4 linked regions of the Neodiprion lecontei genome follow. The main gene of each other region encodes a partner of the protein of the gene in region 4 in a complex. Links are inferred from orthologs where the notes say so. Each region holds a gene or a part of one and is shown on either strand. Other genes may lie near its edges.

Region 1 (3,370 bases), on a different chromosome or scaffold from region 4:
AGCCAAACGAAGGAAATTTACAAAGTCTACGTTTGTAAGCAATAGACTTTTGTAATTACCATTGAAGTACGAGCCACAATTTTAAAGTCACGTGGTCTCTGAACCTCAACTGGCCTAGAAGAACCCATCCTTCCAAGACTACTACCAGGCAGTTTCACCCAAGTGTATTCATTGGTCGGGGATAAGTTGAATGAAGGTGGTGGTGGAGGTGGCACAGGCACATATTCATTGTTGACAGTCCGCCTTAGAGGTGTTGAATCCATCATGTAATCTAAGAATGGATGAGATTGAATCATCGGTATTGAGTAAAGGCAGTCAAAATGCATGTGTCATAACACACATTTGAAATTGATTATCAATGTTACTGATACATATTGAAATATTTAGTTAAATTTCATCCACAAGTGTCGTAAGAATTCATATTTTGTCATAACACAATCTAAATCCAAAATCATTATGTAATGCTGGATAGAAAATCTTTGAGAATATACAAACTATATTGCTAGAGGGAATTAAATGTTTCGGAATGTTCAGAGACGTAAAATCAGAAAATAGTCTGAAAAAAAAGACATTCTAAAAGCAAATATCAGTGCAAGAAATTGAAAAAATATCTGAATACAAATAAAATTATAGATTATGTCAAGGAGATATTCAATGTGCAATCGAATTGAGGGTATAATATACAAGTCTTCCTAGAGTAGAAAATAGATAAAAAGAAAATGAGCACCATCATTGAAGTTCATTTCCATATCATCAGCGTATGAAGTTTCGACCATGGGCGGTGCCCTGTACTCCATAGCTCTAGAACCTGGCGCCAAATAATTTGTAGCCGGAATCGGGTGCATGGTTTTATTATGAAGCTTATTGGTCGTCAATGTAATTCGACCATTGAGGCCCGTTTGACGAGAAATTCCACTGAGAGGTAAATCGACAGTTTTCAAATGAGTGGCACGTAATTTGTCCAACTTCAACCTGGCATCAGACTGCTTGGCTATTTGAGCTAGTTTATCTCGAGCATCAGTGAGTTTCTCACGATTCTTTTGGATGATTTTGAATCTAGCATCCGCAATGACCGGCCCTCCTCGACCTCTCGAAGATACGTTAGTTCGTAGAGTACTTCGGTTGATGCCTCTTCTCGACCTGTAATATTGGTGAGATATCATAAGCTTGCTGTAATTAATGAGCATCAGATATGATTGTGGCTCGATAGATGTTTTTGAAGGTTATAAGATTCATGGTGAAGTAAGGCTTAAGTAACGAGCTTTACTCACAGAAAAAATTTTGAGATTTCAATAAGAAAATGATAAATTCTCAACTCACCCGCGGCCTTTCATTGCTGAAATTTTGGATTTCTTGATTATGTCATCTAAACTAAGCACATTATCGGCCATGCTTCGACAAACTGTACCCTGGTAACTACAAAAACAATCGAACGATGAACCCTAACTTACACCCCTGATGGATCTATGGGGGAACGCCGTTTTGGATCTGTTTGATGTATCGCAGTAGCGGCAGTAGCTATTGGTGGCCATTGGCCTACGAGTAAGTGACGCGACCACGACGCGAACCTTAGCACGTGTTCCGAAACGCACAACGAATTGCCGTGTACCAGAGTTACCACTTCAGTGCGATTTTATGATACGGCAGGTAATACTGTACAATGCTCTAACAATAAGTAATTAGTTGCAGTCATACATTACTTATGCATTTACCGTCGCGGCACCTCGACAATTAGTTAAAAAAAACCTATTCCATGTCAAAGGGTGTTACTAAATCAGGGGGGCTCACTCTCTCTAAATATCCTTGGTTTGTGGTTGCAGAAATATTTGTTGTCACAGCGACCTGTAGACCACTTTAGGTTAATAACTTTTTTTATGCAATGTGGAAGGATACAGTAATAAGTGCATCAGATAGAATATTTCCAGGTCTCGCTTATCACAATCGAATAAAAGAATTTCATGACATCGGTAATAAACCTTGCGATCTATTCGACGATGTCGGAATGGTCAGCGTCGCGTTGATGTTCGTATTCTACGTTACTTTTGCCATTTTACAGGAAACGTGATTAAGTCCAGTTTACCGCTACAAATGGCACTGTATTTCAATACTTGGCTATTTCCGTTTTGGTTTTTCATCAGTTTGAATCTTCTCGATCAAAAAGTAACTACTCTTAACGAATAGCAGCAATATTGCTGATATTTTAACCCCGTTAAAGCCCGGTAAACCCATCACCGGTTAAATATTGATTACCCATAGTTGACTCGTTATCAAGAATGTACGTATTGATATTTTAATCTAATACTTTAAGCTTAACTAAAGTTGTGATTTTTTTTCAGTACCATAAACTATCGGACATTTACAAATTTATAACTGTTGGCGTTTTCGTAATTGTTGCCGTTTCGGAATGCATACGACTGTACCTAGGATACCTTGGAAATTTGGCAGAGAAGGTTTAGGCGTTGTATTTGCGTGAACTTGAAAAAACTTCAATGAAATGTTATGGAGAAAATTACCATATTTGCGTGATTTCAGATTCCCGAGTTGGCTTGCTTTTGGCTGATTTCAACACTGATACAATTTCCTCTACAAATGTTTACTCTTGTTGATGGTAGGATGCTGCCAGGTAGAGGAGAACATGTAGTAAACAGCGTTATGTTAGTTTTCCTCCTCACTGAAATAATTACTGGAACAATTGCATTAAGAAATTCGGCCAATCATCATGCAAAAAGATTTTACCTCGCACAACTGTACGAAATTAATGAAAAACTAGAGTAAGACCGATGAAATATCTTTGAACTGTAATGCTTGTATATATGAAATATTAAACTATTCATCACTTAATTATTTCATAACTCAATTATACAATCATTAACCTCGTATAAAACATAAACATACATACATATCTTTCATCTGTACATAGGTATAAAGTAATAAATTTATGACCCACAATCACTCATTACCTAGTTTCATTTGGCACCTATCAGAATTGTGTAAATACACGATTTAATCTGCGGAGCAGCAGCCAGTCACCTATTGGTCACGTTTGCAGTGAATCCAACTGTTGTTGAACACATTTTAAATATTCGTTGTAAAAATATGTTTGTACTAAAATGTAAAAACTGCACATGGAAAAACTTGTAGATCAAGTTTTAAGACCACATATCATCAGTTTGCTTCTGAGCCTATATTCAAGACTCGTGATTAAGTTCCGAAATAGATAAATCTTGAAAAGTATTTTCAAATATCTTGATAATAATATGTTATCTACCAAACATAGTTAAATCAAGCTTGGCGTTCACAAAGAAAAAATTAAAGTATTTTTCAAGCTCGCCATGAAATTTACTGAAGTAACTGTTGGTTATACTTTTGC
Region 2 (6,631 bases), on a different chromosome or scaffold from region 4:
CGCATCTGAGATGTTGTGCGCAGGATCTGTGGAAATGATCAAGACGTTCTCGCGAACTTTAGCTAGTTGAATGGCCAAGGAGCAGCTGTATTGAAAAAAGAATTAGAGATACAATTATCGGTTTATGAATGTCATTTTAACCGGACAACTATTTTCCTACGATATTTTCTCCCTCATGTATAGGTTATGTACACATCACCTGCATGTTGTTTTCCCAACGCCTCCTTTTCCGCCGACGAATATCCATCTCAACGATCGTTGATCAATCACGTTTCGCACGGACGCTTCCAGCGGCTCAAATTCGACATTCGCAGCCATATTTTTCAATCTCTGATTAACTCAAAAATCGAAATGTCACCCGTCACGACAAACTAATTTCGCAGTTTCGCTGCTTGCGCTCAAGCGTCACGCTCTGCGCCAATCTTTCACAGCTGATGCTAATGACAGTTGTTCCCAACTTGTGCTCAACTGTTACAGTGATAAACACAGATGCTCAAACAATGATGCAATCAATATATCTATGCTTTTACGAATCCTGTATTGCGTTTGAATTCATGTCAAACAAGTTTTATTGAAGAATGAAACCTTATTAGCCATTGTACAATGACGGTATCATTCCATTTTATGAGTTACGAAGCCGTGAGATTCATTGACCGAAAGCTAATTCCGCTATATTTTACAATTCATCCCTGGCTAAAATGACCGTCCCGATTGCGAATTGAGTTCCTTGAGACACTGTACTGGAACTAAATAAAAGAAAAATAATGCATTTCGACTTTTACTCGGATAGCCAAAAACTCGCTCCACATTTTGAAATCATAAAATTGAAAATACATCTAAATCTACCTCCACTACAGTACGATTAAAGTTCGTTGTGAACTCGACCCATCTCTGGACTTTGAGCGAAATTCGACATAACACAGCTAGGTATTATAATATCATTCAGGTATATTCATCAAAATAAATGCGGTTTCAACCGCGACACTTGCAAACACAAATTGAATCGTGAACTAAAATTACGCGTCTAAGTTACAAAATGTTAACATTGTGAATTTTTTAAAAAGTAGAATGCGATTTTAGCACGGCATTTTTTTTTTTCATCAAATCAAATGCGTCATCGCGCCTGCAGGTTTGTCTCTCCGAATATCCCCTGAGTTGCCATGGAAACGGGCGGTAGGTATAAGACTGTAAACAATACAATACATAACGCACCCGCATATCGAATGGTTTAAAAATGTTTTTCATACACGATCCGTTTGTTCGTTATTTATTTTTCTCCGTTATTTTAGAAAATATTTTCCAAGTAAACACGTATCCGAACGGGGAGTTGTTTCAATACGTTACTCCTAGTATGTGCAAAAGAGGGGAATATTTCAACGTTGGATCATTAATTTGCACAGCTTGTGACACGACGAAGAACCTCGAACCCTCCAAAGACCGCAAGTTTAATTTATTGCCTAATTTATTGATATTTTAGGGAGCATGGTGTAATTTCTTCATTTTTGTTTTATTATATACTATCAATTATTTGTACTTTCAATAAATTAAAATGATGTGTAAACTTTTTCCAACTTATACTTTCGACCTGTCTCATTCATTGTATAAAATACAGTTAATAAATGAATCTGAAAAAAGTTGTAAAATTTTGAATTCACCATTACAGGACTTGATTGTGTTTGCAATAAACAAAGTAGGTTTGTCAATTTTGAAAATGGTAATCCGACCTGTGAGCCGTGTGGCCCTGACAGGATTCCCACAATTGACGGACTGGACTGCGTTCCATGTTCTGATGCTAGTACTAATAGTAGCTGCGAATGTTCGCTGACTGAAGTCAGATGTGAGAAACTGTTTTACCTCTTTGTGTATAGTATAAAGAACAACTGAATATTGAGAACATAAAATTACGTCGATATTTTTAGTGGAACGAGACATTAATGGGACTCTTTTGAATAACGTAAGATGCATTCCATGTCCAGAGAACTCCTATCCATCGCCAGATGGAACGAGTTGCATACCGTGTAGAAAAAAATCATTCAGGAGTCACATCAATTGCCCCTGCCCATTAGTTTCACATTTGAAAATCAAAGAGTACTGTATTAAGAAAAATGGGATAATGGAATGGCCTGATGTGAGAAGTACGTACTTAGTCAAATACGAAAGCCAACATATCGACAGTTATTACTTTAGAAATGAGCTACAACTAGCCGTTTACCTGTGTAAAGTAAGTATTCACTGATCGGTATTCTTGGTATTGCTTTCTCGGAGGAATGCGAAAAAATTCACACAATAGCATGGAGTGAAGATTCTCCCAAAGATTCGAAAGATGAACAATTTAAAATTGAACCAGCGGTGCATAAATAACTTCATTTGTAATAATTATTGAAATTCATCACACTAGAATTTTGTATTTGTTTTCAGAATGGAAACAAAACAGCTTGCGAGCATATGGCAAATATGTGCACCCTGACTTTATTTACATCTTTGATACCATGTAAATTATTTTGGGATAAACATAACTCTCCTTTATGGCTGTACTATGGAGAAGGTGAAGCCCCAACAGTTCTCAATCGTAAAAAAATTTCACAGCAGTATAGTCTGGATGTAGAGAGTAATGTACGTAGAGAATGAAACGAAATTGTATGAAAAAAAACTCATTTGTTGGCACTATGTCGTTAATGACTTTTTTTTATTTCACCACAGAGTAGCAGGTTGAATATTACATTTGCCACATTTTCAATGAATGGACAATATCAATCGATCTCAGCACCAACTTTAATCTGCGACTTGTTCAAAAATATCAGATTTGGTATTAATATTGAAAAGTCGTGTGCAACAACTGCCAAAATACTCAATGATATAAGAATGGAGTTTTTTGAACCATATCTTGGATACAGAGAGGGCGACAAAATGATTTTATACGCACTGCCGGTTCTGATAAGAAATACAAATAAGGTGAGATGGTTAAGACATTTTTCATAATTAAGGATAAAGGCAGCAAAAAATGCCCAAGTCTCTTCTTCATCTTTGCGGCACTGTTTAGGATGAAATTGATGCTTCTCGATGGCAACTGGTAAGGAGATTTTTCTTTACTGATACTATAGCTGGCATTAAAGCCTTGCCAACGTCGTTAGGCACTGCTTTTAAGAGAGAAGAATATCCAACTGTTGTGAGATATGCTAAATCTATTAATATTTTGTGAGTATTGCCTCGTTTTTTGAAAATGTGTGTGCTGTGTTGCAAAAATTTACTGTCATATACTGAGTAATTTTTTTCAATCATTCAGAATCAAAGTGCAGAATAAAGAAGAGAAGGGAAAAATATTCCCACCGTTACTTATGATAGAATATGGTGAATTGCTAAACGAACATGTGCGTCAAAACGTTGAGGTGCAAATTAGCTATAAAATCACTTACATATTGGCAGATAACGACATGTACAATGCCATAGAGGTAAACAAGTTTATTTTCAAGTAATAACGAACGCACAATTTTGTTTGCCTAAAATAATCTTTAATTAATCACTCGAGCACATCATTCATTCTTCTGATCAAATTTTTATGCATTTCAGGTGTCTACAGGCGTTTTGTCGAGTTTAGCAGTTGCTTTTGCCGCAATCAAGGCATGGAGCCATTGTAAACGAAATGGCAGTGAAGTTCCAAATACCTCCACGTTTTTCTGGTTTTTTATATTTTGCTGCGGTTTACTAGGAAACGTATTTATATTCGTAGTTTTCTGCGCCAGTGCTTACATGTTCATCTTTTTTAAAGGGCAGACCGTGATGCATGTTTTATTACCGAGCGAGGCCAACGAGGAGACTGTCAGAATATTCGTGATCGTTGCATTCTCTTTAAAAGTGAATAATGATATATTTTCATTCTTTACAAATCTGTCTGACAATTTTGAAAGGTTACTGCACCAATTATGTTTGCAGCTTGTTGAGATAATGGGACTCGTCTATCAGATTAGAAACATTGACATGTTTTTCATTGATTGGGAACAACCGAGGTCTGTTCAAAGCCAACCAAAGTACGATTCACCTCGTACATCTCTAAAGAAATTGTACGCTAATAGATTCTCTGGTGAAAAACGTAGCTCACCAAAAACACCATCAGAAATAATATCAGCTAGTAGAAACAAAACACCGCACAAATTGAGTAGCATTAATACCCCGAGCAGGCGATCAAGACTCTCGATTCAGAGTGATTTAAACGATTCGAATCTCCCCAATCAATCAGGTGGAGATATTTTCTCTATGGGAGATACTGCTGATCGTACCGATCAAAAAAAATTGCCAGTTAGTATTTGGCGAACTTATTTCATCGCTAATGAATGGTACAAAATTCAAACAATCAGAAAAGTAAATATGCTTGTACAAGGCATTGCAACACTGTTCATTTTAGAGGTCAGTAAAATTTATATGAGCTTTTTGGTAAAAATTGTTGCACGAATTGTTAAATAAATTATGTACAACATTTTATTCCCACAGGTTGTTAATGTTAAATTCTGGGCACGTTCAGATCCAGAACTTAGCATTCGTGCTGTAGAGTCAACTTTGCAGGAAAGAGAAAGCTTTACGCTAAAATTTGCTGTTGGTACCTTAGTATATATGTTTGTATACCTTGTACAATGGCTGACAATGGTTATATTTTATAACAGATACGTCAAGAATCATATCAAAGAATTCATTGACTTATGTTCAATGGCAAATATCAGTATATTTATTCTTTCTCAGAACCATTACGGATATTATATTCATGGAAGGTATGGTTCATCAATTTGTTACAAAATTCATACTTGTGTGAATACAAAGTTGATGGTTAGAACTTATTTTTCTGATTTAGCAACTGAACTTTTCATAAAGTATTCAACTTTCAGATCAGTCCACGGATTTGCAGATACTGATCTAGCTACTTTGATCAGCGACCTAAAACAAGAAGAAGAAAATTTGTGCGCACACAGAGGACTTCTACCCGGTACTACAGAGCAAAGCTTTGTAATATCAGTGTCAGCAACTTTCAGAAACTTTTATGATAAAATCATGAACCCAATCAAATTGGTAGGAGTTATAAAGGATTCAGAATGTTATAATTTTGTTTTTCTTTTAATTTTGTTTTATCGCAATCTTCGAGGAGAATTCTAATATAAAGAGAACATTGTATATTCTCTGTTGCAGGAAGAGAGCAGATTTCTTAGAAGTGACATAATTTCAACGTCAAATTTGGAAAGAAACATTCAAACATATCAGAAGATGAAACAATTCCTGACCCAATTTATAGATCACTGTTTCAAAGACTTGGAATACACTGTTAGAGATAAGCAATTCCTTGAAAAACTTTTAGACATTGAATTCAGAGAAGGAGTCGAAAAATCAATTTTCTATGTTGGTAAGAAGCTTGATTGTTCACAATATTGGGGAATTATTATTTTGCAACACAAAATATAAAATGCTTTCTCCTTTTCAGACAACAACCATTCCTTTGATCGTGCCATGTTCTATGGGAACGAATGGATGTTAGTAACTTTTGAAATTACCTTATTCAACTTTATGGAAGCCCTATTTGAGGACTACACTTTGGCGATAATAGTCACAGTATTCGCGTCACAGCTGTTAATTATCTGTTGCAAGTTTAATGGTAAGAAAAATTTAGCTCAGAAAACGTTGATCGATGAAAGATTTTTACTATGATTTAAGAAAATGAGCCAAAGTAATTTTATGCGGACAAGAAACTAAGTTTTCCAGGGTGCCTAAGTAGAAGCCCAGAAGTATGTCCATACTACCTAGAGTCCAGAATATAATTAAGATCTTTGTAGCTCTAGAATAATTGGTAACCCTGTTTAATGGGACTATCATTTGTCATTTGCTTTTATATGAGTATAAATATAAGAAAACCAGAAATGGACGAGGTAAAACGATTTTAAGGTCGTATTTACGAAGGTATCAGGATGATTGAGAAAATCGTGAGGTCACTGTTATACATGTACCGCTCATGTATTCTAATTACTGCTTCTACAAATACAAACTAATATTAAGTTAAATGTCATTGATTTATATGACATCAAAGAAAGACTGGATAAAGTGTGGCAAGTATTGTTCAAAAGTAAATAATGGGGAATATAATATGCAGATATATTGAAAACATGTCTATTGGTACAAAATAAAATCCTCCTAAAACAATAATCACACTGTTCGCTGTATATATTTTCTTGATTCATGTTAAGTTAAGTCTAATAGAAATAGTTCGAATAATAGGAATTTTAGTTACTGTATTTATTATATCACAAACTACACTTGTATCATCACCATCATTTCATTTATTATATCAACAGTGTGAACTGGAAAGAAATTTAATGATGACCACCATGTTCTCCACTATGTGCATCATGGTCATGGCTATGGCCATGGCCATATTCAATTCCCAGAGCTTTTTCAAGTCCTATTGTTAAGAGAAACAATGGAATACCCAATTTGAGGCCACATGTCGCGTACCGGAAGCCACGCCCCCAAAATGTTCCCCACTTTGTTACGTCGTAACGCCAAACTTCATTCCGCAGCCAAGGATCTCTTAAACCTTCCTTTGCCAATTTTTCTTGAACGCGTAGCAGTTCAGGTGCATTTTCTAGTTTGTATATGG
Region 3 (4,719 bases), on a different chromosome or scaffold from region 4:
GGAATGATATCGTGTGTCTAACTATCCGAGTCACTTGCCTATTTCCGTTTCACGTACCCTACAAGAAATGCGTTGCCATTAGCGGCGGAACAGCGGAGAAAAGCAAATATCGCTTTTCGTTGGTTTTTGTTTACTACGTGTTTTATTGGTTTTTTTTTTTTTTTTTGGTTTGTTCCAGCACACATTTTTCCAAAATTAATAACTATCGACAAATCACTTGTAAATTAATGTTTATTAACGCGTTAGGTTTACGGCTAACTTGTTTTCGCGTCTACGTCAGAGATTAGGAGTCATTGTTAAATAATTGGTATAGAATAGAAATCGCGTTATAAATTTTATTTCGAAGCGAAAACAAGTTAGCCGAAACTCCAAGGCGTTAGTGAACAATCGCTGTACGTACACTCGTTTTTTCTTCATCAGCACGCAATTCTTGGCACCTGGTTTTCAATGAGAATCAATTAGTTGATTTTAAAGACGGATAGTCGGAAAGGTAAAAGGGGCAAGATATCCCCTCTCCGTTAACTGGGGGAAGGTAAGAGAGTCTCGAGTATCACAGGTGTGTATAACGTACGTTTCAACATGTCTTATTCAGTGATCACCAAAGTAATTAAGCCGAAACTGATGTGCCTTCCGGGGAAAGTAGTCGAGGATAATTAATATTTACACGAAATTAATTGACTTCGATAGAACAGTAGATACGGGGAAATTGTGCCCGGAATAGGTTCGCCGAAAGGCATTTCGTTGCGTTACGTACGTATCCAGGGAAACGAGCCGAGGAACCATTCAAATTTTCATCCCATATCGTATATATATATACACACTCTCTGCTCACACGTAACTGGTAATTATATCTCTCGTTAATACGTCGCGTATATTAAGGTATGCCTATCACACACACACACTTTCAGCGGTTTCAAAATTTTTCCAAAAATCATACGCTCGGTGAATAAATTTCATCAAAGTTACGATCGATGTTTCTTACGGTAATAACAAGGAAAAAACGTATTTTTCTCAACAGATATTTTATTGTAAGAGTAATAATGTTCCGAAAAATCTTCAACGGCGAAGTTTTGGTGGGCATTAGTCCTGCCATCTGAAAAAAAAAATAAATATCGTCATATCAGGCAATCTGGACGAATCGCGCTACCTCTGAATAAAAAAAAAAAAAAATTCAGACATCGAAAAGATTCGTCGACACCCTGAACAAGGAGCATCCTGACGCACACTTATAACGTATAAAATAAAGTACGTGTGGCATTTTATAAACTCGGTTACAGTGGTTGCTTGTATGTTTTGCGGTTGTGTAAACGGGACGGAAAAGTTTATCCTTAAATTTTTCCGTAACTCCCCGTCTCCTTCACTTCCTTTTATACTCTCTTCACGCCTTTCTCGCCTAGATGTATCTCGTATATCCGCACAATCTATATCTCATTTACATCTTGGCTCGAGCTCGCAGCTTGGCCCTGAGTGAAGTTTAAGCTGCCAGCTTTGAGCCTTAAGACGCAAGGAGTTTAGCATTTCGTCGCTTGTTAAAATTTTTCAAAGTATCGACTTCAGGCCACGGGGTGAAAAAAAAAAAAAAAAAAAATAAAAGAAAAAAATAAAATAAAACGAGAACAAGAAAGGAGAAGAAAAGGACAAAGTAAAGTAAACCGACGAGGTAAAAGTGGGGAAAATAAAAGTATACCTATTTGGTATGTACCTGCCTGCTTGCCCGCCTCCGGGCATATCCGTTGCTGAATGTAACGTCTCAATTTTTTTTTTCTTTTTTTTTCTTTTTTTTTTTCTTCACTTTTCTTACTTCTACGCTATTTCTTATCAGCGTATCGCTATTTCTTGTGTTATTACGCATGAATACACGTTATATCTAAAGAAGAGAATGACAAAAAAATAATATACATGTATATTTCCGATACACCGTTATTCTTGTATAATATGATATAACGCTTCGACTCGAACAGAGGATTTCCATCCCGCCCGCGGCTTGTCACAATTTCTTATTCACTTATATTATTCTTTGTCTGTTACCCCTTTCGTCACTCCGTTTCCATTACCTTCAAAGGAGGCGTCTGTATTTACATATACACATATATCTCCTCGTTGTCGTTGGGCGAAGGTAGCGAAGGAGTGGAGAAAATTTCATTTAAAATCCAATACTTGTACCATAAAAAATTAAAAATACATTCACCTTACAGTATGGGAAACGAACTTGGTCCGCGTAGCAGGAATGAACAGATATTTATTGTTCAATACGTTATATTCTATATGAAAAAAAAAAAAAAAAAACCGTTTCTTCTTTCATAAAACAAAAGTAGTTGACGTTGTTACGTCTTTTCGGGGGATTACAATATTTTCAACGCCACATCGATCTTCGCACGAAACACCTTAATCTGCATTTACAAGGTGTGTGTATATATGTATATATTTTACGTACACACGTGCATACATACATTACAGTTAATGGGTTTTACCCTGTCGGAGGGCAGCGGAACCGGAACTTTGAAGTGCTCAGGCACTCGGGGCTTTCGCTCGGCTCGAAGCCGAACTGAACTGCCTCATACTCGATTCTACATCTGACATATTTATATATGCGACTTATACATATTCTATACACGGATATATATTACATATGTATGTATATATATATATATATATATATATACATGTATACGTATATGTATGAAAATTAATGGGAAACGAGAAATAATCGTTAAAAAAATGTCCGGAAATTTTCAGAAATAGTTTTATAAATATAACTACCAAAATGATTAAACAATGGTGTTTCTTAAACTACAATTCTCATGTTTTTCGGCCTCATCCGCGAACAAATAAATTTCCATTTTTATTAAACTCGTACTTGTTATCGCTACTTGTGCATTGTATCAATGAACTGCATACCGACAAGAATAGAGGTAGATACGGATATGTACTAATCTCCACGACCCTTCGTCGAGATCTGCACATTTTTGCCCCGCGCATCAAACGCACTATGTGTAATCATACACACACACACACACGCGCACACGTCGTCGTAGAATCCCTTTTTCGGGATTCGCGTGTGCCTTGCATCATACTTACTTACACAGGTGTAAACGCGTTTCGCTTAAAACCCAAAGCGCAAAGGCCTGGATATGGGATATTTTGGATTTAGTCTCTGCCTCGGCAGAGGTTGCACGATGGTACTTAGGGAATTAGCAAGTATACATTTAAATACATCAAGAGATGGTTACAATATTCGGTCAAATTCGACCTATGCATGCACGCCGCGTGTCATGTGTATGTATAACTAACAGTTATACTACCGCCTGTGGTTTCCTTTGAACGAATATCATACCCTCAGGAAATATGAATATATGTATACGTCTACGTAATAAATTTGCGTATCGTGCACACGTTGCGTTATGTGATGCACGGACACTTTTGTGAAAGTAAATTGTTTATCACGGTAAAAGAAACGTTTGTTGAACGTTCTTCCTGTCATTTCGAATGATACTTACATAGTTTAAGATAATTGTTCAACAGCTGCGTGAACGTTAAAAAAGTTTTCATTATTTTAAATTTTTTCTGCCTGTGTTTGTTTAAAAGAAAAATAGTTGAATCCGAATTTCCGTTAATAATTTGGTGCATAAGGCAAAAACAGGGTTGATATAAATTACCCTGAGCTGTTGTTTGATTGGGACGGGTGTTGATTTCGTTGAAATGATTTTATATCATTGTATTGAATTTGAATAAAAGATATAATATCATTATTATTATTATTATTATTATTATTATTATTATCCTAAATATGATACGGGCAGTAAAATTTTACGTATTTGCATAAGCGAAAACATCCAATAAATGAGTAATTAAAATTTTATTTGATGTTTCTCGTGGGGAAATGTATAACAAACATGTGTAATATTTCGAAATCCGAGTTATACGTATTATAAACGGGGGGAAATTTGTTCGACAAATGTGGGTAATATTGAATATAGTTCGATCCTTTATTTTTTTTTTTAACGCAACTTTTTCATTCTCCTTTCGTATTGAACCTCATGCGATACGCGATACGCGATATCGTTCGCGTTACTTGTGTAAACCGAGATGATTGGTAGGGCTAATGAAGTGGAGGTGCCTCCGTTGAATGAATAGGCTTGAAACAAAATTACAGCCCAAGCGGCCTGCTTTTATTAGAGTGAGGAGGACGGAGTGATAGACAGAGAGAGAGAGAGAGAGAGAGAAGGGAGTGGATGGACGGATGCGAGCTGGGTGAGAGAGAAAGAGAGCGAGAAAGACTTGAAATAAAATTGAGGTACGTGCACGGAATGAGAATAAGTGATAAAGTGCGGGGAATACAAGGAGATCTGCGCGTAAAATGAACTCAGCCAGACGGGCATCCTTTACGTATCTACGCAACGCACACACATGGAAAATCGGAAGGGCGAAAAACGATGATACAGTAGCTGATCGTGAGCTTCTTGTTGTTTCGACCAAAGCTCGGACATGGATACCTACTCATTGTCAGCTGTATAACCGATCCGACGCGAGAAGAGTTGTGGAGTTTTTTTTTTTTTTTTTTTTAAGAAATTGTAAGCAGTTAGAGCAATTCGAGTTTGAAGGCTTTATTGGTTATAGTCTCAAGAACGTTTCAGAATTTTTATATTGAAATTAATAACAAAATGCCGGCAGGGCGCATATAAGTATATAAGTAGAGCACGACGCCGAACTCGAGGGCTT
Region 4 (7,609 bases):
TACTTACAGCATCGTTGTACTGTAGAGGTATGGTGATACCACCCTCGGCATCTTGAGTACTAGCCATCCTTATTAGTTTGAAACTCCTATACGAATGAAAACACCAAAATTAAAATAGGCACTAATTATAATACAAATAAATATCATTCTAAATTGATTCAACTAAATATTTACGAGAAATACACACAATTTATCTGTTTACAATAGTTTTCTAACCATCAACAAGTCAAATACATTTATTTGTGGGTAGTAGAATAGGATGAACTTGTAGCATGAAAATACAAAACTGTTTCACTCTTTATTCTAAGTCAATAAATGTAGATCAATCAAATAATGTTGATAACAATCAACTCTTCATCTATAATTAACGACAGAATTATCTTCTTTATGACTGTGACAAAATGAAATATGTTACATCATCGCTTTACATGATTCCATGTAAATAATAGAGCAGCAAAATGTGCAAAACTTTTATTAAAAAGTATACGTGCCCGTCGCATGATTGAAATAATCCAAAATGATTGGTGATGATTAGCAGGATGATGAAATGGATTCTCAAACATAATAAGTTGAAACTAAGATTTTCACTTTCACTCACATGCTTATAAATTATAATAAGATGCAGAATTTGTTAACTATTACTCCATAAAATTTGAAATAAAAACTCTTTTATGCAATGCTTTTGTCTGCACCTGCTCTGCAATTAAACTTCAAAGTTTGAGTAAGGAGGTTGTTGAGCCACCGATCGGTGTTTATTTTTTATTTTATTATAATATAGTCATAAATTAGATATAAATATGTTTGTAAGCTACAATGATTTCTTAAAAAAAGCAAGATAACAAACGAATAATTAACAGCAGCTTAGATATCCATGTTTCATTTCAAACTGATTGACAGTGATGAAAAGTTTAGTATTGTCATTAGATTTCACTCTTATATGATGGCTGATTTTATTTGGAAAATTTTATTCCTTTCAAATTCTACTAGAACAGATGCAATTTCTTTTCAGTAGGCAATTGAGAATTGCCATTTGCTGATCACAAACAGTATCTGTTAAATGTTGTAAAATTAATTATTTAACAATGCTAACTTGATAAAAAAAAGTGTGTCAGTGGGATTGTAAGAAATTATGTCCTGAATATCATGAGCCAATATAGAGTAAAATGGAACGAATCTTATACTCGGTTTTTCATCATTTTGATGCGATTTAAATTAAGCATTGATATTCACGCTTTCGTTTATGATTGTCGGTAATTCGTAACTTTATATTTTGATAGGACATATTGCGGTGTTTGAATGTATTAATTTTGTAAAAACTTAACGTGCGACTATTTAGTATTAATATTGGTAGATAATATTGATTTTTTGTTCACCAACCTCCTTCGGAATCGAATGGAAAATCGATCATTGTTAACAATAAATATCCCCTGAAGCTACAATTCCATTAATATGAAGTTAGTAACGTTGATATAACGATGCATGTTAGGAGAAGTCGTTACTTCATATAGGATCGCCTCAAATTTGATTTTCGTGCTGTTCCGTTACGATAACGTTACTAACTTCAGCTTCGTGCAATTTTACGTAACTGAGGGGTAGATCAAGGTCAAACACTCCGAAATCGAAAAAATAAGGTTTATAACCTATCGTCGTAAAAGTGATATTAGCATAATCGTTGTCACCCAGTTATGATTCCAAAGAACGAATACCGAGTACGTATTCATGAGTATGAGTAGCGCGATTATTTAAAAAACGGAGTGCAAAGCAATTTAATTTCACATTTTCGTACGCGAAACATTAACCGTTACAATAAGAACACAGAATATTTATTCAATTCATACCTCGACGATTCGGCTATGCGATTCGGGCGAACGGACGACAAGTGGAAGGTGAGTATAGCAACTGTGTGTCAGGTCCAAAGTATTTACGCGGAGCTACGTACTGATGGTGATGAAATCATTTTTCGCCGTTATCGTACTATTGCAGATGGGTGCGGAGATAAGAAGCGTGGAGATAAAAAGTTTAAACTAGGACGTATCAATTTCGACAGCTGCAGTTTGTTGCGCACGAGGCCTTTATCCTCTATGGCAAACCACGATTATCAATGTGAAAAACCCAAGCGTGGAATCCCGTTAAGCACGTTTGCTGACGTTGCCCGAGGCCGAATTGGGTTATGTTCGAGGCGATCGTGATGGAGTGGCTGCAGGACCCGACGAATTTTACTTCGCGCTAAAAGGATACTGCTCATTCTTATAAGTAGTCGATCAAAGCTGAAGGAGATTCGAATTCCCCGACTTATAACTGAGCAGAAACCTGACTCAATCCACGAAGTTTCGGAGAAATCATTCGGTTATTTTAAACACCATCACCGCCGGTAACGCGTCACGGAGAATTGCAAGCATCGATTTAACCGGCTGTTGCGTCGCTTGCCTCTAGCTTGCCATGGCTGTCTGGCCTTTCCAATTTCCATTAGCCGTCCGGGTTTTACTGGGAGACTCCGTCACACACGCATCCGAGTCATCGACACGCTGGGACAGAGCGTAGCCTTGAACTTGTCCACTTTATTTCATAGCACAAGTTCGATAGTTCTTTTTTCAAATGTAGATTGTAGAATGAAAGTTCTCGACCTTATTATCTATATGGGCAAACCGTGTTCTCGGTGTCAAAAGTCAAATGGAGTAGTTAAATATTTTTACATTCCGGGGTGCTCACCTTTGAAACCGAGAATGCAGTTTTCCCGTTTTTCAAATATTGTGACACTCGAAGATCGGCAGAAATTTTCTGTCAATTATAAAGCTAAGGATGACTCGATCAAAAGTTAAAAAAGAGTTCAAAGTATAGAAAACAGTTAAAAAATATCCATTATTATACATAGTTAGAACGTTAAAAATTTATTTTCAGATATAGTTTTTCTAGTCTGATTCTAGTCTTTTGTGTTCATGTTGTTCGCTTAACAAAAAGTGATCTTACACTTCAATATAATTATAACGCGCGAATATAAATAGATTGAATCTGTTTTCCGTATTTACAAGTATCTATTTTATCCACTCTGGATAATTATTTGTAAAATTTATTTCAAATTTGGTAAAAGAGTGAGCCCAAAATATTGAAATGGAATGAAAAAACTTCCGTGTCCAAGAATTTTGAAGTTGTAATTATACAACCTTTTTTTAAGATGTTGAGATCTTAAATTTCGTTATTCTGATTGGCTCAGATACATTTCAATTGAATAGCAGAGCTATTGTTTCATTCGTGATCACTATCATTGAACCAAATACCATTAGTGGAGATTTGTAGAACGAATTTTTTTGTTTTTCCTAACTTTTAATTCAGACAGCCCAGCCGATAGATCATTAAAAATGATTCCAGACTTATAATACGAATGAAAAAATGAATATATACATTTTGAAAATGGTTATAAATATATTTTCACCTGGATCAAAACTGGTTTCGATTAAACTAGGTATGATTGACTTGAATGACGAGTAGTTTTATCTCAGTTGTAGTGTGGTACAAGATCCGCAATTATATAACAAAGGAATACAGGCTTCTTTACTAATAACATGTCGATTAGTATGTAGTGCATCAATTCTTCCTGTTTATTATAATGAAATCGACACACCTCTATAATTGCAATCATTGATCACTATGGAAGTCAATCAAAGTAAATGAGTTTGAAGCCTGTAAAACCTTGAAACAATGGTCAAAATGTTCGTATGTATAAAATTCAAGTTGGCAGTTATTCCAACTATATACCGAAAGTTAAGGAAGTGACAAAAAGTATTGAGAAGAACAACTTCTTTCAAATCCACTCTAATTATTCGGTGATTTGCTAATTATTCTAATTCTAGCCTCGATATTTATAGTTATTTTAACTCAGCCTATTTTCCGCGTATTCACTGCATATAATTACATCGAGTTTCAATTCAATGATTTGTGAAACAATAATTCTGATTGCTTGAGAAGTCGTCAGAATTTTTTAATTCAAAGAGTAGGCTGAAGCTTGTGTATATTTAAACAGTTCCCAGTAAACTTTGTATAGATTATCCTTGTTTGATCAATCAGTAAGATCAAAAGTGGTGCAAATATCAAAAGACGAGTAACTATATAAATATCCAGAAAAATAATGGTGGATATACGAACGTGCAATATAGTTAATAAAACATGATAGCTCGCTTTGTTAGCTGATCCATAGTAAAGGCTCCTGAAGTGACCACGCGTTTGAAATAATGGCGGGAACTATATCGACGGTTGCTATGCAACCAGTGTTGACAAACATTAAAGTAGAGAAATAAATGAATACGAGACGTTAAAAACATCACGTGTGAAATTTTGTGAATGGAATACCAAGAACCGAGTCTTTCCAAAGCGACTGATTATTTTTCCGATTCAAATGTGATTCAAGAATGTCGAAAAATATTGAGGGAAAAGCGAAAATAGCGAACACGTACCGCGTCAGCGAGCCGATTGTGAATTTCAAAATCAGGTAGGTGAATTAGCTAACAAAAATATTTAAAACTGTTATTCTGTTGGGTGGCCATCTGGCCAATGCGAACCCCCCCCGCCCTTCCTCCCTGGCCGTACGATGCCGTTTATTTCACTTTGGGTTTATTGTTTCAGAGTCAGAATTGCACAACAGAAATCCCGACTAGTTGAATTATTTAAAACGGAAGAAGAAACCAGAGATTCGAATTTTTTGGAATACGAGGAGAAAATTCTCTCCTGGCAGGAAAAAATTTTCGGCCGTTTCGAGGCGCAGTTTTACGCGGATTCAAAAAACTGTGCGACGAAACAGCAGAAACAGTATCACGAAACGATAACCGAGAAAAATATTACTGGGTCTCGCATATATACCTACATTGACGATGATTCTTATTTTCCCAATAAAGACTTACTGACAAAGCCGTACAAATCGCATTTGTCTCGAAAAAACGCGTCAGCGTTACCAACTTTGCAAAACCGAAAGCCCTTCGTTGAACGTTACAACAAAAAAGTTATCGACGATAATCCCGGAGATACTACAATTCGCACTAATCATTATCTCCACAGAGATTCCGCGACAATGTACATCATAGTCGATTTAATGCCGAACGCCAAGTCCAGTTCCTACGATTTTGATGACTCACAAATACTGTTGTGCACAATCACATTCGACAAAATTCATCGCTCTTTAACCGTCGATCCCGATTTCACGTACCAAGAGCCTTACGAAATTCACGGCACTGATATGAATTACGATTATTGGATCGAACATGCATCCGAAATTCAGTATCCTCAAGATTTGGAAACTGAAGTTAAAGAATTGCGTGGTGTAAGTGAAATTCCTTGAGTTATGTATCTCGGAAATATCGTCAGTAATTTGCGTTCGTATAATTCACTCGAAAATCAGACCAACGTGGATCAAGTTCAGATCAATAATAAAATTCCGTTAACATTGCTTCGGATATACGTACCCAACGTAGGAAATTTCGGATATCTGTCGCATCATTTTATGCGGGTAAAAGACGTTCATCTTGTCGGCTGATTCTTTATAATTTCCACCTTCTGACTTTTTTACTGTACCATAATTTACAGTACTTCACTGCAAATTATTCCGTGGTTTTATTCTTTTAAGTTAAGTTCCGGTTTCCATTATTTGAACTGCACACATTTTATTTCATTTGCGAGTAAAGTTTTAATCAGTATAGGTTATTAATTGAGTTTTATCACTGAATCTTACAAACAATATTTGTATTTTATATTTCCACGAATCTGAACCATAAACAATCTGACTGATTGTATTAAGTAAAGAAACTGGCAATGGATAAGGTTGGTGTATCAGACTCACTGATCTCGACTGCTATACTGTCTGCAAATAACTGAATTGTGTAGCTCCTTGAATGTCAGCTCAAACATTCTCCCACACTAACTCCATATGTTTACTCTATCAAATCGCACACACTCGAGTTTCACAGTGTAAAACAAATCCGACAAAATACTTTCACAATTTTATAATCCACATGCTCCACCTACAAAGCGATCCGCATAGCCTTGTACCTTCACTGCTTGAAGTCGATCAACTCTTTTAGATTGTTTTGTTCTTACTTATTGTCCTGTTATATTTCCTGATCCGACTTTGAGTCGCCAGGAAAAAACGAGTAATTTATACCATATGGATACAATTTGTCACGCATTTTTTATGGAGTTACTTCTCGGCGAGCAATCTTCTTTCTATCTAAAACAAAACAGTTTGTGCCCCAAAGACAATTGCCGATATTGAGAAATGAATCTGATCAACTACTCCCAAACCGAGCGTGCAGGAAATTAATTAGAGCCATTCTGTTGGTCATCCTTTTTTACTCTGATAATTTTACTTTGTGTACATTCACAGCAGGTAATGCAGAAGTTGAGCTACAGGGAAGCAGAAATCTTTCCTCAAATTGGATTACCTCCAGCTAATCGCCTGCGGATTTTTGTCAATCTGGACATTATGTCTGCTCACAACTTTCCGTACGATAGTTTGTTCGTGACGTATCACATTGAATTGCCTAAATATTGGAGTACAGATCAACCGGAACGTTTGACTGGTCGGACACAGCGATGTTCAATGACGAAAGGAAGTGCAAATTTCAGTTACGTAGCCGAATTTTGCATCGAGTTAAATTCATCCCGGTTAGAAGATGAGAAATCCTCAATTGCCTGGCCGTGGATTCTTATTTCGATAGCTTCTCTTGATAGCTGGACTAGGTAATTACATAAGTCGATAGAATCTTTGGTTCCTATACCTGAAGATTTAAAAACCCGAGTTAGGAATACAAGTTATGCTAATTTAAACTTTTAGTCACGCATGGTATTAGAACGTAAGTCATCAATTGTGAGACGCTATTTCCTGGTAGTGAAAAAAATAAATCAACTGTCTTAGCCATCATATTTCAGTATCAGCGCAGCTTTTAATCGCAAATTTTACGCTAGATTAACTTACTATCAAAAAATGGAAGCCTAACAGCTCGCACGATAATGCTGTGCCTTGATATTTGCAAAATTGATCTAAATTGACCAGCTGATCATCACTACTGCCGTCATATTGATAATTAGTATTGCCTATTTTTAACTGAATTTCAATAAATTAGTAATGAATCATGTTTGCTACAAAGGTACCGAATCGAAGGGTATGCGGCTGAAGCGCTTCCAGCTACTTCCGGATGTCACTACTTGACGTTGCATACTTGGCGACCAGTTGGAGACTTTTTAAACACTCTTCGCCGCTTCTTTACTGGCGGAACGTACGAGCTTCAAGATATGTCTTATTGTGGTATTCCCGCAATGTACGACGATACGAAATTGGAAAAAGCAAATTTGGAGACGGTGCCAAACGGTCAGATTGAACTGAAATTGAACATCATCCAGCAGAGCCGATCTTTCATCGATGGCAGCTGCTTTAAACGCGACACTTTCGAACGTCTAAGTGCTGGGCGACTTATGAACAGTGTTAACGACGTTCTTGAACAATTTAAGGCTGCCAGAGAACGGATGATAAAAGCACGCATCATGAACTCGTGAAATTGTCTTTTGACACGTACGTTTCGGAGAATTAGCGGAACGCGATGTGCGAAATCAAGGAAAATACGTGACT

What was found.
Region 1: Meckel syndrome type 1 protein (region 4) and transmembrane protein 17B share a complex: the UniProt entries of both Homo sapiens proteins name them as parts of the tectonic-like complex. The link is inferred for Neodiprion lecontei from reciprocal best matches to the Homo sapiens genes MKS1 and TMEM17.
Region 2: Meckel syndrome type 1 protein (region 4) and meckelin share a complex: the UniProt entries of both Homo sapiens proteins name them as parts of the tectonic-like complex. The link is inferred for Neodiprion lecontei from reciprocal best matches to the Homo sapiens genes MKS1 and TMEM67.
Region 3: Meckel syndrome type 1 protein (region 4) and B9 domain-containing protein 2-like share a complex: the UniProt entries of both Homo sapiens proteins name them as parts of the tectonic-like complex. The link is inferred for Neodiprion lecontei from reciprocal best matches to the Homo sapiens genes MKS1 and B9D2.

The regions. Positions count from the first base shown.
Region 1 is NC_060263.1:2,800,235-2,803,604, reverse strand, and holds transmembrane protein 17B, read left to right. Parts: upstream 1-1,653; 5' UTR 1,654-1,879; coding exon 1,880-1,967; intron 1,968-2,056; coding exon 2,057-2,160; intron 2,161-2,336; coding exon 2,337-2,450; intron 2,451-2,513; exon of another isoform or gene 2,514-2,532; coding exon 2,533-2,775; 3' UTR 2,776-2,841; downstream 2,842-3,370. Other genes in the region: uncharacterized protein LOC107222077, read right to left, coding at 60-271, 728-1,140, 1,321-1,391. UniProt on the Homo sapiens protein: Transmembrane component of the tectonic-like complex, a complex localized at the transition zone of primary cilia and acting as a barrier that prevents diffusion of transmembrane proteins between the cilia and plasma membranes.
Region 2 is NC_060260.1:37,172,286-37,178,916, reverse strand, and holds meckelin, read left to right. Parts: upstream 1-1,702; 5' UTR 1,703-1,837; intron 1,838-1,919; 5' UTR 1,920-2,113; coding exon 2,114-2,221; intron 2,222-2,418; coding exon 2,419-2,613; intron 2,614-2,700; coding exon 2,701-2,952; intron 2,953-3,040; coding exon 3,041-3,195; intron 3,196-3,283; coding exon 3,284-3,449; intron 3,450-3,567; coding exon 3,568-3,852; intron 3,853-3,930; coding exon 3,931-4,401; intron 4,402-4,485; coding exon 4,486-4,760; intron 4,761-4,874; coding exon 4,875-5,055; intron 5,056-5,172; coding exon 5,173-5,383; intron 5,384-5,461; coding exon 5,462-5,685; 3' UTR 5,686-6,111; downstream 6,112-6,631. Other genes in the region: ATPase ASNA1 homolog, read right to left, coding at 1-85, 200-318; NADH dehydrogenase [ubiquinone] 1 beta subcomplex subunit 3, read right to left, coding at 6,345-6,631. UniProt on the Homo sapiens protein: Required for ciliary structure and function. Part of the tectonic-like complex which is required for tissue-specific ciliogenesis and may regulate ciliary membrane composition.
Region 3 is NC_060266.1:23,876,176-23,880,894, reverse strand, and holds the start of B9 domain-containing protein 2-like, read right to left. Parts: upstream 3,028-4,719; 5' UTR 3,018-3,027; intron 2,498-3,017; 5' UTR 2,493-2,497; intron 1-2,492. UniProt on the Homo sapiens protein: Component of the tectonic-like complex, a complex localized at the transition zone of primary cilia and acting as a barrier that prevents diffusion of transmembrane proteins between the cilia and plasma membranes.
Region 4 is NC_060261.1:15,444,237-15,451,845, reverse strand, and holds the start of Meckel syndrome type 1 protein, read left to right. Parts: upstream 1-1,597; 5' UTR 1,598-1,631; intron 1,632-1,838; exon of another isoform or gene 1,839-2,002; intron 2,003-3,022; exon of another isoform or gene 3,023-4,181; 5' UTR 4,182-4,403; coding exon 4,404-4,483; intron 4,484-4,617; coding exon 4,618-5,308; intron 5,309-5,450; coding exon of another isoform or gene 5,451-5,509; exon of another isoform or gene 5,510-6,314; intron 6,315-6,367; coding exon 6,368-6,723; intron 6,724-7,130; coding exon 7,131-7,536; 3' UTR 7,537-7,609. Other genes in the region: rhomboid-related protein 2, read right to left, coding at 8-86, 5,451-5,509. UniProt on the Homo sapiens protein: Component of the tectonic-like complex, a complex localized at the transition zone of primary cilia and acting as a barrier that prevents diffusion of transmembrane proteins between the cilia and plasma membranes.